Arabidopsis thaliana: one gene and its partner. The protein of the gene in region 1 interacts with the protein of each later gene in a pairwise test. Each region holds a gene or a part of one and is shown on either strand. Other genes may lie near its edges.

Region 1 (4,673 bases):
TGGAATTCCACTAGAGCCATGCGACAAGAAGAACACATTTGCTTATGCTATTTACTGCTACTGGTTTGCTATAAGATGTACGAAACATGCCTTGAAGAATATATATGAATAATGGATAATGCCTTAATATTACTATAATGAAATTTATATGAGAAGACAAACATATAGAGTATCCTAAATGGGGTTGTTCTTAAGATCGTCACGTATAATGATGATTTGAGTGTTGGTTGGCTAACTTGGCTTTACAAGCAACGATAGGTCAATGGATGATGTTCACATCTTAATCAAATAAAAAACATTCGGCTGACGAGTAATGGACGGTGGAGATGATGGTTGTGTCAACCTTAATAATTTAACTGTCTATTCTTTTCTCTCTTTTTATAACATTTTCACTGTAGCCAAGTATCTTTATATTAGTAAAGAACAAAGCAAACATTACAAAAAGAAATAGTTAATTTGTCAACTTCATCTACTAAAATATTTTAACTATAGCCAAGTACTATCTAGGACTTCTTCTCTAACAAAGCTTTGAGACTTTACTTCCACACTTTGTATGGTGATTGTTTGGTTTCAGTTGCAAGTTGAAAACATAATTATTTAGTTCATGTTCGTATGATAATAATACATCCCGAATGAAATGAATACATACTTGCCAAAACAAGTAAATATGTACCAAATTAGTGTAGCTCGACTAGAAAAAAACTCGGAAAGTCACAAAGAGAAGACATATCAAAGCTACACTTTAGACAAAACAGATCATACATGCGGGTGACCGTGTTACGGATACCCGTGTCCCAATCCTTCATCAGCACCTGCCACGCCTTCTCTAGCTGCTGAATTAACAAGCAACTGCGAGAAAAGAATAGACACTTGTTTCGATTAGGCCTAATCTTTATGCAATGACAATCACTAGAATAAGAAAATTTAGAAACTAACCTGGAGTTCTTGTTCACAGTCTTTCAGGTTGTCCGTGCACTCTCTAACCCTTGAATATGATTTATGTAGCTACCACAAACATAGACCAAATGTCAACAAACATTACCTAACAAAACCGACTTTTAGAACAGGAATCGAACCTATGCTTACCTTTGCCAATTCTTTTCGGCGTTGTGAAACCAGTTTCTTTTCATTGATCAACAAATCTTCTAATCTCTGTCTTAACCATTTCAAATGAGAACAAATCTGTAGTCAAACATTTTGGGGTTGTAAGATATAGAAGACACATACCTTAGATTTCTTCTGTAGCTCTGAGCACACTACTTCTTTTACTTCCAGTCTCTCTTCCATCACCATCACCTTAAAAATGAAAGTAGCCCATAAATTCATTGGATCACTCGTGATTATGTAAAATAAATCTACCAACAGCCTATATGCACAGATAAACTACCTCATACCTCATCTCGAAGCGCCTCACGCATCTTAATCAGCGCTTCCAGATCTTCTTTCACCTGTAATAGAAGTTGCAAGTTATAAAATGAATTTATGCAAACACTGCATGGCTAAGAAAATCATCTTTACCTGATGATCTCCACTTGAATTAGAGAAGTGATCTCTGCCACGTCCACCATCAAGAATGGTACTGTCAATCCAACAAGAACACACAAAGATTTAGACATGTTAACAAAACCAAAGCAAGCCAAAACATTCCTCAAACGGTAACATGCACAAAGCCAACAAGAGCAAGAAACTTCCTCAAATCCATTACACTAAAATCGATGATAATTTATCAAACTTAACCACAACAGGTGTGGATGATTTGGTTTAGCGGCGTGACTAAGACTAGCATCCCAGTCTTTGACTCATTCAAACTAGCAGACCAATTTTACAAGAACAACGAATGTCACAATTCAAAGAAACAGGAGGAACACTAAAAGTTTGAAATCCAATGTGAAGTCTACAACTGCATTGTTTTCAACAAAAGTTTACCTATCTTCTCTCTTTGTTTCTTGGCTCCTTCCTTCGTGAGCACTGGTCCCATTTATTCCCCTACCATTATCCACATAAGACCTATCCCCACGCCAATCTCCTTCATCACCATCGAAAACTCTTTCCTTATAACCATTTCTATCTACCATATCATGATCATTCCTCCTCTCAAAATCATGTGAATGCTCATAAGCTCTTTCCTTCTCTATGTAGCGATGATCTTTTCTCCTATCCTGAGACCTATCCCGTTCTCGAGACCTATCACTATACCGATCCCTCTCATAATTACCATCACTTCTCCTATCAGGACTTCTATCCCAACCACCGTGTGGTTGTAACCGCCCCGGACCTGGATTCATTCTTCCACCTCTTGTTGTCACATCATTCACACGCACTGCACGCCCACCAATACTCTGATTACGAGCTCAATACCGTCAACAATATAAACACACCACGTACATGATAATATAAACAAAAGAACAAAACTTTAGCAGTAGAACCATACTTTTCCATCCATATCTTCGATAGCATCATCAGCCGATCGACGGTTCGAAAATGTAACAAAGCCATAGCATTTCCCTCTTACACTCCGGTCATTGACAATCTGAATTCTCAAATAGTACACATATATGTCAATATACACTCTGACCAGCTCACATGTAAGATATATCAACTAGCAATTGGATGTTATCTAAATCACTTGGTCAGTCTTTCTACATAGATATCTACTAAAGCTTATCATCTATAAGATCATACAATAAGATTGGAACTTCAAAATCACGAAACGAATTTGAATCATCCTAATTAAGAAACTTAAATCAGGATATTGAAAAGAGAAAATTAACCTTAACGGTGAGGACGGAGCCGTAAATGGAGAAGACGCGACGGACAGCCTCCTCGGTGATGTCGTAAGGGAGGCCGCCGACGTAGACGGAGTTACCATCGTCCATCGTCATAACTCTTTATCGACTTTGGTCGGAATTCAACAAGGAAAGCAAAGTACTTTAGAAGTCGTACTGTCAGAAATCTTCGTGTTACATATGGGCCATTAGGCCCACTAAAACGAAACCGGAAAATACCTTTTTTATAGGACTTTTTCGAATTACTTTTCTAGTTTTTCTGTTAAAAATGTTCTTCTTTATTGATCAAAACGATTTTATGCAAAAAGTATCATTAGTGAATAGTAATTAGTTTAACTCGATATTGACCATAACAAAATCAATTCTCCAAATTAAAATCTCGTCTTCCCCAATTGGTTTAGCGCGACAAGAGCATCAACGCAATGGTGGGAACATCAAGCTCCTCCGCCGGCGACCACACCCACACCGTCGTGATAAATGCCCTAACTAGTCGGGGCTGGTGCTTCAGAGACGTCGAATACTTGAAATCCCTGGTCACTGAAATCTCTTCCTTGATCGGCGGCGGCAATAAAACAGGCGCCATCGTGGAGTCAGTGGAGGCGGAGCTGCTTAACATGGATATTAAGTTAATCGGAGGTAAATCCCTCCCGGACCCGACCGAGTTACGCAGGTGTTCTCATCTTCAAGGCCCCAAAGTTCTCCAGGTACATTGCTTCAATCAGCTAAAGTCAGTAACAATTGGCATTAGGTCTTCGCTAATTCAATGAGTCACTCTCACTGATATACTTAGATTTAAACTAGTTTCAGAATGCTCAATTGTTGCAGTTGATTCAAGCTGTTGAGTGTTAATTTGTTTTCTTTTGTGAGCATAGATAAGTTATGTTAGGGATGTTACAAGAAGTAGCGCAGAGGAATTTGTGGGAAGTTCCACTGGTAAACGAGTGCTAAAATTCGCTCTGACTGACGGGAAGACCGAAATATCCGCGCTTGAGTACTCTCATATACCAACGATTAACAATGATGTCACTCCTGGTACTAAGGTAGTTCCATTTCCATATCAATCTAATTCAAATTCTCCTTTACTATGTTTCTGAAAGTCTCATGCAAATATAATAGTTTGGATTAAGATCTAAATCAATAGAAAGCTAGTGCACATATGTGTTTGTCATGCATCAGAGGGTGTCATATGCAAATCATAAATCATTTTGTATTGTTGATATTTTGTACTGTCTCGTTGGCAGGTACGTCTAGAAAATAAGGCTGTGATACGTGATGGTCTAGTATGTTTGACTCCAAAAGAGGTGACTGTCTTGGGCGGTTATGTGCAATCACTCACTGAAGAATGGCAGATGAAGAAAAAATACGCTAGTTTGGCTCGATCTCAGGAAAGCAAAGCTGGTGATGGCCCTCCTCCATTTGAGGAGTTGAAGATTCGAACAGGTTCCCATCACCGCGGTAAGCAGGATTTTCTTATTCTCATCATTTTCATTCAGTTTTCTTCTAGTAATTTGTTGCATATTTAGTTCACTTTGAAACGGTTGGCCAATCTTTGCTACCAAATAAAATATCTACCATTTTCTATTTCATGTTGATAGTGTACATAAATATGCATTGACTGCAGCAAGGACTTATTCCATCCAAATGCACTTTAGCATAAACATATTAGTAATTTGACCCGAGCTCCAAAATCCCAATATATCCGTTTATGTAACCTATGACGACTCATGTAGAGGTCTGATCTATGTTTTCCCTTGGCTTTGTGTCCAACATTGGCGCTGTTGGGTCTCCATTGTTTCAATACTTAAACTTGAGTGAATGCATTTTCATTGTGGTAAAATTTATGATCTATTGAATTGTTCTTCCTTTGTGTGGGCTTACATAAAGTAT
Region 2 (5,351 bases), about 20 Mb from region 1:
ACCGTTTGACCATATATAGTTCGAGATTCTTTCCCTTTCATTAGTTGACATTAACATTGTCCATATGCAATATGTAACTGCGTGATGAATGATAGCTTAGTTTTTTTTTTTGTGAAAAAATAATAGCTTAGTTTTTTTAGTTATGATTTGACCATATATATAGTTCGAGATTCTTCTGCCACTGATCATTTTAGTGAATCACATCGAGAAGTGGACCTTTGACAATAGTTAATCATTTCATCCATTTTAAAAGTATACAAAATCATTGCATTCAAAACAAATTGCAACTTGGCGCTAGCTACATATAATTAGTAAATGTCTTAATGATATAAAATGAATGAATTTAAGCGAGAAGAAAGCTTTGCAACGGCGCATGACCTGGTTTCTACCACGGTGCACCCACCAAACCATTCACCAACAACCAACAAAGACAATCCCCACGCACTATTCAAATCATTCAAACCCGGTGCCTTCTATAACAAAATAGGCTATAATGATGATCACATGACTAATCATGATCATTCATTTGGAAAGATATAATATATTATAGATCCTCTTAAGTTAAACGGCATATGATAATATAAACTTAACTTTTGATTTTGAAGTCCAGCATTACAAGCACACTCTCTAATCCACTATACCTCAACTTTTAATTCTATATAGTACACAAAAAAAGCAGACTTCATTTATTTGATCTACAACTTTTTTTAACTATTCAGTCATTAATTTGGAGTTTTTGAAGATTACAAAAAGGAAGAAGAAGATAAAAATGCTAAAAGACCAATTAATTCCTTCTAATGTAGGGTCTCAATCTCTCTGCAATACAAAAGGCCACACCCGTCGGCTACTGCTTGTCGCTATCATGCACCTATGTGGGTCTTTTTCTGAATAATCATACTTCTATTATTTATACCTTACTAAATTATTGCTTATCCTCCTTATATAAATTATGTACCATTATATATTCAAAAATCATTGAAATCGAATTTTCGAAAAAAAGGGAAATTAAAATTAAAATCTGGCGTTTTCCAAGCCGTGCATATCGCTGACTCGATTTAAATGCTTCCTCATAATAGCCACTTTAGCTAATTTCTCGGCGGCTCTCCAAGCCGAAGTAGGGGTAAGCTGCTCCGGTTTATCTTCAGTTCGGTTTAATATACTATTTCTCGGTTTAATCCGGCTAAGTTCATTTAGCTCAACCTCCAAACTCCTTAAACTATCATCCGAATGAGACGCATTGGACCGAGCCGTCGTTAGAACCTGATACGCTCCGGATAAATCCTCACGCTCGATAAGCCGGCGTGAATCCGCTACAGCGCGGCACATGGAGTGTAAATTTCTCAGCCGTTCGATGCTTGAAGATACATATCTGACGGATTGTGGCCGTGGGATCAAAAATCGTTTTTCTTTAGGACATGTCATTGGCTGATGTGTCATTTGGTCAACGATCGACGACTGTACGGACATTACTTGGTGGGAACCACTCGACGAAGTCGGCACTTTGAGCTCAACGAGAAACTCTCTCTCCTCCTCCGCAAACAAATCTCCGACTTGGATGACAGAACCGGATCCGAAATTCTCGAGTCGACCGGTTAAAGAGTAAACCGATGAAATCTCAGTCAAATGAGATCCGTTGACCAAACTGAGATTTAGCTTCACGTTATGGAGAGTCACGTTGAGCAACGAAGCGATTCTTTCGGTGAACGCGTCTCGTAGCGGCGCGTGAAGCAACGCTCCAGGAGAAGCAATGTAAACGGAATGAACCGGGATCTCCGGACGAGAGAAACGCGTGGTAGACACGACGAACGGAATGCGCGTTGCGTTTAGTTTAGCTTTCAAAACTGCCTCCGGTTGATCTTGACCGTCCGATAAAACAAAGATGCTCGTTGACGGATTCTTCTCCCGCCGATCTTCAACGACTTTAACCGCTTTCTTCAACGCGTCGTTAACGCTCATTCCAACTCCGCCGGTGGTTTCCATTCCGCCGAGTGCGTCGACCATTCGCCGCGCCGATCGTCTTCCTTTCGCCGTCATTCGTCGTAACGGCATTAACCGTTTTGACCCCGTCGAGAAAACGACGATCGATAAACGATCCATTTCTCGGAGAAGAGAGATCACCGATCTCATCGCGTGTTTAACCGTTTGCAAATTAGCACCGCCGTTGCTTAAATCGAGAACCGTTACCAGATCTATCGATGGTCTTCGCGCCTTAATCGCATCGGTGATGGACGACGGCGACGGAGACGCTTTTAGTTTCATGATGACGACGTGTGTCTCCTTCTTTTTCCCGGTTTCCACAACGGCAGATTCCGGCAGCAACTTAACCTCCAGATTTCCTGAGATTGAAGGAACCATATCAGACGTAATCGAAGAATCTCGGAAGAATCCGGGGAAGTCATCGTCATCTTCAACGTCGTCGTTTTCGTCTGATTCATGTATAGTGTTGATCTGAGCAAGAGAAACCGGCGAATAAGCTAACGGCTCATCGTCGTTGTACACTCTCAGTGACTTCCCCGTTTTGATCTCTCGGATCTCGGGTCGTCTAATCGGGTCGGATCCGAAGTTATTATTAACAGCCGGATAATTCGACTTTGGCGCGTGATTCCATGCGGCAGAGCAAAACGGACAACGCTTGTCTTCTAATCCATTGACGCAAGAAAGGTGAAACGAATGTGAACACTCCGCCGTGAAAATTGCCGCCGTCGAGTTGCTTTGATTTGAATTCACTCTCTGCAAACAAATCGCACATCTACTACTATTACTCTGCATCCACACACACACAAAACGGAGCTTTAGATTATGTCTTTCAAATTAAGAACTTGATTGAATCAAAAGTAACTACCTTGTTGAGAAGAAGCGTGGCACGGAGGAGAGAGACGCCGCCGCCGCCTTGAGAGGAAGAAGAAGATGATGATTTAGGAGAAGAAGGGTTAGAGAAAAACTTGGGACTTGAGCTGTTACTAGTCCTTGGAGTAGCATTGCTCGTAGTCCTGCAATGGAGTTTGGGACTAGTTGGAAGAGATGGGATAGTGACTGATGTGGAAGCTGAGGAGCGGCATCCAGTGCCGCTTCCGCCGCGTGATCGGAGACGAGGAGTTGAAGGGTTGGATAAAAAACCAAACTTTGATCGGAATCTTGGTGTGGGAATTGGAGGATCAGTAGTGTGTAATGATGAATGTTGTTGAGGTTTATCTTGATTACTTGAAACGGAAGTGCAAAACGCTTTTCTCCAACCAAACACCATTTCCTGTGAGAAAGAAATAAGAAGAGAAGCTCTCTTTTTTTCTATATTATTCTTCTTCTTCTTCTTCTTCTATTTGTGGAAGTAATTATAGAGAAGAAGAAGAAGGACTTTGGGCATAATGGATCATAAGGAAGATGGAGAAATTAAATACTAAGATAAAGACTATAGAGAGATTTCTTTTTCTTTAGTGATGTTTCGATAAAGACATTTTTTTTTATGTTATTTTAAGTTGTAGGAATATTATAAGGTAAAAATTGTGACTTTTATGCGTGTGAATTGGCTTTTGTTTCCATTTGCATGTAATTGTTTTGCCTCGAAGAAAATAATCACTGATCCGTTAAGTCCTTCTTTTTTTTGGGTCAATTTTGCTATTTTTTTTACATATTTCAAGTGTTGTTTCATTGGGATGGACGATAAAGTTAAAAGTCAACGGTAATAACCGACCATATGCAAAATGAGATTTCAAATAACTTGAGACGCGGAGATCTTTGTTTTCCATTTGCATGTAAAATCTTTCTTTTCAAAATATTAAACAGTTTATTAGATTGTCTAATGTGGATTCCTCTTGAATGTTCCACAATGTGGTTCGATTATATAAATCATTTCCAATCTTATCGGATTCTTCGAAATGCAGATTGTGATGGAGTGTAAGGTCAAACATGTGGGCACGTGACGTTACAGTCTGAGCAATAAACGGTAAGCTTATTTTCCTTACGAAATATAAATGATACTAAAACACGTTGTATTCGAGTTATCTTCATGATTGTGAATTGAGTTGTATATTTAATTGATAGTTGCTTACGTAATTACATACTGGCTGGAGCGAGGAATTTAACCTAAAGTTTTGGGTTTGGAATTTTGTAAAAGGTCTTTGATGGAGAAAGGTCGAAAAGTTTTTTTTTTTCATTTATTTACCAACAAAATGATTTATAATATATGGTGACGACAAGAGCTAATGATATGACATAAAGATTAGACTGGTCCAGGTCCAGCAAATTTTGAATTCTTCTTGCTATTGCAAAAAAATTGATGGTTTTGGTCTGATTTTGATTTCGACACTTCTATTATTTTGATTTGACAACCTTTTAGATTGGCTGATCAAGTGCTCGAGATAATTAGTGTCCTAAATCAAAGGTATTAACTCCAAAATACAAATTACTGCAATTTGTGGCCTCTAGTATCTTGCAGTTATGCTGAAGAGCCACATGAATGAATGAAACAATAAATGGGTGGGTACATATATGATAAGGGGGCTGCTAAACAAAATTGTAGTTAAGCATTTGTAAATGGTTTGGTAGGTTTTTTAAGTGGCTGCCATTGTAGAGACAACACATGACTTCGTGCGTGCATGCCATGGAATCATTGATTATCAACCAAAAAATGAAAATATTAGTTAGTTAATCTTGTTAAGAATGTAATGACTTATATTATACGAATAGCTTTACACAAGTATATATACAAGTACAGAGGAGGTTACACTAGGGTTGTACAAATATAGAATGTTCCATAAAGGAGACAGAGGAATATTATGATATTAAAGAGAGATGATCCTATGTATCCTTAACACGCCCCCTCAAGATGGAGGGGCTATGCACACTCCAATCTTGTCTCGAAGTTCCGTGAAGTGATTTCGAGGAAGCGGTTTTGTTAATGCATCAGCGAGTTGGTCTCTAGTGTTGACGTGAGCCACACGAAGAATGCCTTGCTGAACTTGTCCACGAATAAAGTGATAGTCTATGGCTATGTGCTTCATCCTGGAATGGAAAACCGGGTTTGCGCAAAGGAAAGTAGCACCCACATTATCACAATAGACCACAGGCGGTTTGGGAAGTGTGATCCCAAGCTCCGTGAGAAGGCTGCATATCCACTGGATTTCACAAGCAGTATTTGCCACCGATCGATATTCAGCTTCTGTTGAAGACCTTGCAACGCTCTTTTGTTTCTTGGCAGTCCATGAGATTGGATTTTTCCCGAGGTAAACGATGTAAGCATTTGTTGAAACGCAATCTTCTGAGTCTCCGGCCCAATCTGCATCTGAAAAGGCATGAAGGGAGAGCTCGTTTTGAGCAGCAAAGAAAATGTCGTGAGTCGTAGTTCCAGCCAAATA

What was found.
Region 2: the proteins of AT5G19960 (region 1) and WAVH2 interact in a two-hybrid assay, tested with the Arabidopsis thaliana proteins (one large-scale study listed by BioGRID).

What each region holds. Positions count from the first base shown.
Region 1 is NC_003076.8:6,742,238-6,746,910, reverse strand, and holds AT5G19960 (RNA-binding (RRM/RBD/RNP motifs) family protein), read right to left. Parts: upstream 3,034-4,673; 5' UTR 2,883-3,033; coding exon 2,772-2,882; intron 2,531-2,771; coding exon 2,432-2,530; intron 2,395-2,431; exon of another isoform or gene 2,340-2,394; coding exon 1,927-2,339; intron 1,580-1,926; coding exon 1,519-1,579; intron 1,449-1,518; coding exon 1,395-1,448; intron 1,297-1,394; coding exon 1,228-1,296; intron 1,153-1,227; coding exon 1,087-1,152; intron 1,006-1,086; coding exon 937-1,005; intron 850-936; coding exon 778-849; 3' UTR 530-777; downstream 1-529. Other genes in the region: AT5G19950 (tudor domain protein (DUF1767)), read left to right, coding at 3,209-3,490, 3,659-3,826, 4,028-4,241.
Region 2 is NC_003076.8:26,259,365-26,264,715, reverse strand, and holds WAVH2 (Zinc finger (C3HC4-type RING finger) family protein), read right to left. Parts: upstream 3,581-5,351; 5' UTR 3,245-3,580; coding exon 2,843-3,244; intron 2,764-2,842; coding exon 1,012-2,763; 3' UTR 546-1,011; downstream 1-545. UniProt on the Arabidopsis thaliana protein: Probable E3 ubiquitin-protein ligase involved in the regulation of root growth. Acts as a positive regulator of root gravitropism.